2 linked regions of the Drosophila melanogaster genome follow. The protein of the gene in region 1 interacts with the protein of each later gene in a pairwise test. Each region holds a gene or a part of one and is shown on either strand. Other genes may lie near its edges.

What was found. The genes of interacting proteins can lie anywhere in the genome.
Region 2: the proteins of DnaJ-1 (region 1) and CG7945 interact in a two-hybrid assay, tested with the Drosophila melanogaster proteins (2 studies listed by BioGRID).

What each region holds. Positions count from the first base shown.
Region 1 is NT_037436.4:5,750,506-5,754,260, forward strand, and holds the start of DnaJ-1 (DnaJ-like-1), read right to left. Parts: upstream 1,685-3,755; 5' UTR 1,089-1,684; coding exon 84-1,088; 3' UTR 1-83.
Region 2 is NT_037436.4:15,522,237-15,525,991, forward strand, and holds the start of CG7945 (uncharacterized protein), read right to left. Parts: upstream 1,902-3,755; 5' UTR 1,597-1,901; exon of another isoform or gene 1,482-1,596; coding exon of another isoform or gene 1,276-1,481; intron 1,229-1,275; 5' UTR 980-1,228; coding exon 732-979; intron 345-731; coding exon 324-344; intron 267-323; coding exon 124-266; intron 1-123. Other genes in the region: CG33986 (uncharacterized protein), read right to left, coding at 2,096-2,913, 2,972-2,987; CG33985 (uncharacterized protein), read right to left, coding at 3,676-3,755.

The sequences.
Region 1 (3,755 bases):
GTAAATTAAATATAGGCCTTAACTAAAGTGATAACAATTATATGCGTGTGTGTGTGTGTGTGTGTGGCTGGCACAGCTCTAGCCTAGTTGGGCAGCAGCTCGGACAGCTGATTCTGCAGACTGGGTGCCAGTGTGTCGGGAAACTTAATGTCGAAGGAGACGATCAGATCGCCGCGCCTCGATGGCTCCTTGGGCACCGGCAGACCCAGTCCGTTGATCCGGCGCGTTGTGGTGGGCTTGATGATCTCGTGGTTCGGATTCACCTGTATCCTGCTGCCCTGCAGCGTGGGCACACTAACCAGTGCTCCGCACAAGGCCTGCTTCAGACTGATCTGGGCTGTATACTTTAGATCGATTCCCTCGCGTTTGAACAGCGAATGCGGTTTGTCGCGAATGATGAAGACGATGTCAGCTGGCGTCTTGTTTGGCGCCGAATCACCCTCTTGGGGGAAGGTAATCTTGGTACCGGCCTTCCAGCCCGGCTTCACTGTGATCCTCAGCACCTTCTCCTCCTTGTACGGCCCATTGCTTCCGGTGGCCATGCGTGAGATTTTCATCTTCTTGATGCATCCCTTGTCCACTTCCTCCAGCGACACGAACAGATCATGCTCGATGGGCGGATCCTGCTGGCGCTTGCGACTGGGTGCCTGGGCATTAAAGGCAAACATATCGTCGCCGCCAATGTTCCAGAAGATCTCGTTGGTATTGCCGCCCTGACCGCCACTAAACATGTTATCGCCGCCGGTAAAGAACGCGCCAAACGGATCCGACGATCCAAAGAACTGGGCAAATGTGGCCCTCGGATCGCCGTGGAACTGGTAAGTGTACGCTCCCGGCTGACCGCCGCCATCTGGTCCCGGCTGTCCGCCCTTCAATCCATCCTCACCGTAATTGTCGAAGATGTCGCGCTTCTTTTTGTCCGACAGCACCTCGTACGCCTCGGCGATCTCCTTGAAGCGCTCCTCCGCCTGTGGGCTCTTGTTCTTGTCGGGATGGTATTTGAGTGCCAGTTTGCGGTAGGCCTTCTTGATCTCATCGTCGCTGGCCTTGCGCTCGAGGCCCAGAATCTTGTAGAAGTCTTTGCCCATCTCTCAGCTGAAAATATAGGGGAAACACAAACGAACGAACGCTATAGATTAGAATGAATACTGATTGCCAGCTTGCTGGGTTGGGGCGATGGAAAGTGCTAGAAGCACAGAACAGCACAGTTGTGCAACTGCCGTGTTGTCACGCGAGTGACGTATGTAGTCACCATCAACGAGAGCTCCGCTCCCGATGTGCTTCTTTCAGCAGATCAAATCGATGCGCCCACATGTGGCAATATGTCCAACGAAGCTTACCTTAAATGTAAGCGATTGTCTGGGAATCCGTAAAAGTTCAAAAATCCAAGTGGAAAAGTGCAAAATGCAATGGCAAAGTGCAATTGTTGGTATTGTTCACTGTGTATTCACACTATTTATATTTTCACGGGGCAATGTTCTTTAAATATTTATGAGTTTTGTCTCTTTCTCGCAATTGATTCAATTCAATTGTTCTTCTTCGCTTTTTTCTTTATCCACCAAATGTGGCTTGCGCACTAAAAACACACCCTACTTCAGAGTTTCTTTCTCTTCAAAATTTTGTTTAATAATGAGCGGGATTCGTGCGTCAACCTCATTTTATAGGTTCGCCCTCGTCTACGTCGAAATTTCTGGATGCTTCTCGGATTTTAGGGTTGTATCTCGAAAACGTTTGACTGCGAATGTCAATATCGATATGCTAACCGATAGCTGTCGATGTTTTAAACACAGTGCACTGTTTTTAAATCGCTCCCCATTTATATATATTTGTGCATGCTTTTGGCGGTGACTCTTCTTTATATGCTTCTTATGCTTTTACGATTATTATTAGCGCTTATTTGATTGCAAATGCCAAGGAAAGCGTGACTGTGATGGCGAAATGCGGAAAGTACTCCTTAAATCTCATATATCGCATAAAACTATCGGTTCTGGAATGTTTCGTGTAAGTCTGCGAAGATAGAGATCGATCTATTTTGAGGATACATTTGTTAATATTATAAGGGATTCTTCTACAGGGGTCAGATTGCTTAAAAACACACAGAAAAATAAACAAAATATTTCTTTGAAATATTGAAATATTTGAAATAGAAAAAACGTATTGACGAGGTAAGCATATTGTAAAAAGATAGGAAGGTGATGGAGAAAGTTGCACTTATATTGTTCAACCAAAGAGCTTATAATCAAAAGATCAATAGATATAAATATCTTTATATGATATAAAATATAATACATATAATATATTATAATATACAATGTATAAATTGCAAGTGTCAAATTGAATTCTTAGTGTAATATTCAAGCCAACGAAAAGTAACTGAAAGTTGAAATAAATAAATTTTTAAACTTTGCCAGTGTGACCGTAAGACCAAGACTTGGGCATTGCCACAGCTGCAATGCGTTTAGTATTTTACAGTCAGCGGCGGGCAGTCACACCGGAACGAGCACGTCTGGTAAAACAGCCGAACGGAACAACAAAAAACAATTGTAAAAATGACCCGTCGAGGCTCGTTTTAAGCGAATTTCTAGCGCAGTCAGGACGCAGGAGCAGCCGAGCAGGCCGGGATTAGGACCGGAGGAGCAGGATCATCGGGAGAGTAGAGCCGAAACCCACACTCACACACAAACGCAGCCGTATACCGCAGTATTTTCATACACACACACACACTTGAGGTGAGTGAGACGGAGGTACACACACATGCACACATACAGAGAGAAGAAAACAAGGCGCCCCACGAATTTTTGCAAAATATGGACGCGCCTTGCTAGGGACTAATTGCCAGCGCGAAGGACAACCATTGGGGCCACTTTTTGGGCCAAACTCCGGCCGACATATGCGTGTCACGTTCCACAGTCGAAGCCTTGACCGATCGCCCCGCCCACCGTTCACCGCCCCATCGCTGGAAGTATTGCGCAAACGAATGTGACCCTTAACCCTTGCCCCCCCCCCCCCTTCCACAAAGAATATCCTTTGGCATGGCGCCTGTTCAAAGGATGTCCCACTGCAGCAATGCAGCATTGTAGCAGCGACGGCAGACCCATAAAAATAGTCATTCATTCCCGCAAATAGAGAGCTGGCACATCGAAGAGAGCATACGGTCGACATTAATAGCACTTTCGCTGTAAACCCAAACATATCGCCTATATTCATTGAGTAATCCGTCTGGGTTCTAGGGACCCAAAAGTTCCCCCCAGTGAAATACCCACCCACTGCATTGTGCGGCGATAATCGTTATCAGTTGCAACTCGTGAGTGGTCATTGATATTCGCAAAAGGCAACTGGACAATGTTTGATTGTTATCAGACCCCTGATTGTAACCCAGTCAATAGCTTACATTACTCCCCATTATCCTGTTATTTGTTTAAAACAAGTGGCTTGGGTACTGTTGCAATCCGTGTATCTGTATTCATGTTCTTATCGCACCCCGAAGTTATAGAAGCTATATAAAAGTATTGTTTTCCTATTGAAGTGTAAGCCAGATAAGTAAACTGTTTCTCATTGTTATAGTACATCACGCCGAGAACTTAACACGTAGCTCGCTTCGCCAAAGATCGGGCGCCAGATCGGGTGGTGTATCTTCGGATCGCAATCGGAATCGGCATCGGCATCCTAAGCGGCCAGTACACGCGTGAACTATGCCGTGCGTTGACGGTGCGGTCTTCTAGTTCGGAAAGATTTCGGCACACTCAGTTCCGACA
Region 2 (3,755 bases), 9.8 Mb from region 1:
TGAATAACCCTTTACTTAGTTTGTCATCAGAAACCATTACTTCCGACTTCGAAATAATACACATTTTAGTAAAGCTATGAACAATGAGGGTTCAAATTAGTTTTAAGAATCACTGTCACTTACCTTCGCTCATGTTCTGCATCATTTCGTTGCTCTTGATCAGATCCATGGACATCAGAAGGTAGTCTTTCTTCTCCTGCAGGTTGAGTGCATCCTTGCGCAGCTTCTCCACACGTGCATCCAAACTATCCAGTATGGTGACAAATCTGCGAGTCACTCAAAGGTTAGTCACGCTCAGTGGTTATTATAAATTCAAGATTTACCTCTCGCTGGCGTTAAATGGTCTGTCACATGTCGGTTAAGTGTGATTGCGGTTCAGTGGTTAAGTCATGAAACGAGACAAGCAACGTTAGATTGTTAGATCGCTCTGCTACAGATCGACTGACCACTTATAGAGCTACGAAATTATAACCAGAATATGTCTACAAGAAAAGGCGCTCGCACACAAAGCTCTTTTGAGAGTTGTGTGGGCGTTCGCGGCAGATACTTTAAGCTATCACCATTACTATTATGGAACAAAAGATTCGAATGAAGCTGGTAGCTGGTAGTGTGAAGAAATAATAGATAAGAAACGTATAACTTTTGTTTCGCTACGAGGTTGTGTGAATATAATCGGTGGTATTGTTTTGGTTTCGTGTCTGATTTGGTTTTAGTTATGATGGAATAACAACCTGTCCAGAGCTCTACTATCGTCGACGAGTCCGTAGGAGCTGTTCCCGCCATTGCCACCACCTCCGGATCCGGATGGGGATGAGGAGGCCATGGCATCGGCCCTCAGGTCTTGCAAATGATCAAAATTCATGGATGCCTCCGAGTGGTAATCGCTGGGCGAGATCTGATGCAGCTGCTGGTGATAAGTACTATGGTGATGATGATGAGTGTCACTGGTTTCCTGCGTTGTTGGCGCATCAACTTCCATATCCTGCGGCTGCTCCAGATTTGATTTAAACCTGTCGCCCTCCAAAAAGCCGGTCAAGTGTTTGTCACCCAAGATGGTTGGATAGCTGCCTACTGTTTCGTTTTGGGTTTTGGTTTTATCTTATTTATTTTTTTTTAGCCGCTTTGCTGGCTACTTTTTTTGGAATGTCTTAAGCTTTTTTTTTCGAGTGGGTGTCGAAGTGTTTGATGCTGTTGCTTAAGCTTAATTTTATCTGTTTTTGCTTTGAAGCTGCAATAAGAGAGAAGAGGAAGCGTGAATGCGCAGAATTCAATTACCTATCTGAATGTGGGCTGTGAAAAGAGCCTTCGGTCCAGGAGGCGTCAAAGCCATCATTGGACTCGGGCGTATCGGCTTCTATATCTTCCGGATATCGGTTTATTATCTCCGCCTCCTGGGCGGGTTGCGGCGGCGGTGGCGGCGGTGTTGTGTCCGACTCGCAGCGACGCCGTTTCCGAAAAATACCTCGAAAATTCTCAAACATTCTCGGCTGAAATCACCAATTTTCTAGAAGATTACGCCTAATTCTTCTTCTTTTCTTGTGGCAACCGATGTCTAGGAGAATCCCCGGGTGGCTGTTTTGAACTTGAATAAATTACCTGCCGCCCGAGACTTGAGGCTCCGGTTTTAATGCACCTTTGGCCCGATGCAAAAATATTGTTGATTTTTCGAGTTGGGCAGTTTGAGTTAGATGACGGGAAATGCTTGTGTTTCCAGATAATTCGTAGACACCGATTAATCTAACTTTGTTAGCTTCATTTTTGAGCACCTGGGTTGTTTACTTCGAGGGTCAATCGAATATTTCGCTTTACTTAAATGAAGATAAGTATAAATATGATTAATTTAACATTATATTGTGGGATTTGTATGACCGTGTCTGACTACCGCAAAAAAGAACAGTGGCCATATAGTCAACTTTATCGAAACCGATTCATCGAACATTGTTGTCGAAAGTTAGTGTGTACACACATTAGTTCTGGTTTTCATCTGTAATCGGCGGGAGTTTTAAAAGTAGTAGTACTTTTAAAAGAAACCTCTCTAAAAGCATTTGGTATCTCCCAAAGTTCAAAAAATTGTATGCTACATATATTAAAACTTCTATTTTATTAGTGGTGCCAAATTTAAATCTCGCACACACTGAGCCGTGCGCGACCATTGACAACTTTTGGTGGCAATATCGAAGAAGTAATAGAAAGGACATTGCTGCAGGCTGGCGTGTCCTTTGACGCAGTAGATAAAGAACTCGCATCGCTGCATATGGGGATACAGATGCTGTCCGTAGGCGGGGCAGTGAATGAGATCACTCGAAATGGCGGTGCCACCGGATGGGAAACCGGAATTTCCATTCGTTGGCATATCCTCCTGACCACCTACGGTGCACTGGGCTCTCTCCGGAATATCGCATTTACCCGTCATTGCATTCCAGTGCAATTGCGAGCTGCACTCCTGCAAGATCGCCTGTCCATAGTAGCAAATATAGTACTTTCTGCAACTACTCGAGCTGCCGACATATACAATCCTGTCGCTGGATTGTTGTTGCTCCACCAACGTGGAGCAATAAGTGGCGGCATCCGTGACCATGTTATTCGGATCTCCATCACCATTTCCGCCATCGAATGGAGGAGTCTCTATGGGATCCGTTTCATTTCTGCACTTTACATTTGTCGCCGAATCGCAGAGTCTGCTCTCCGAATTGAAGAGCATCGTTGGTGGGCAGGAAGCCAGGACTGCATCCCCGTTCTCAACGCACAGGTAAAACATGTGGCAGTCCTCCGCATGCTCCACAAACTCACCAACCAAATGATTGGCACATATTCTACTACCACTCTGCCTGATGGTCACCGAGTTTGTGGGCTTCGATGGTCTCCAGGTTAATTGCGCTGTGGCCAGCAAGCAGTTCACGATCAAATAGAAAGCTGGAAACCAATAAATTCTCATCATACTATTAGTTTTGAGAATATCCATCTTACTAACCCGTATTAAGCATCATCGTTTTTTCTATCGTCAGACTCCAGTAGAGCGCAGTTATATTCTAATTTCGTAATGCCCGGTGAACTTGGCATATATGTGATACATTCGGCGCCAAGATACAGCCGCATATGTGGCTCAGTATCAGAAAATTAACATTTTCAATTGCTTGTAGGAAGAAGTTGATAAGACTCCTGTATTTTGTTTTGCCAAAAAAGAAATATGGCTCCCTTTCCTCGCAATCAATCGATATCGTATCTCGAAATGGCAAGCAGATACAACTTTAATGCTGGATTTTTAATTTTAAAGTCTGGTGAAAAGGAAGCCGAGATTAGCTAGGAAATTGATTAGGTGATATCACGATGACATATGTTGTCCTTGTGAGGAAAATCGTATCATATCGGTCAAATTACTATGTTTCAAATCGAAGGTTGGCCTATTTTGGCAAATGTTTCGATTCAAGGTCTTCATTTTGCAGAGATATGAAAGAATTGCTTGATATCACCTGATAAATTTAGGAAAGAGTCAAGGTCGGCCGTGTTGCTTGATAGTTTTACAAAGAAGTCTTATTGATTACCAGTATTTAGGTTTATTCCATATGTAAACATACAACACTTTATGTTCAATATTTTCAATTTTTCCACAAAGCTCGTTAATTAACTAAATGTAAAATTTCGTTTTTTTTTTTTAATAAATATTATTATGTGTATTTAATAAATTTTCATTTGCATTTGCAGCTTGTTGTAGCATTTGGCTTGACCTAGTGCTACACAGGATCGCTTCTCGTAGT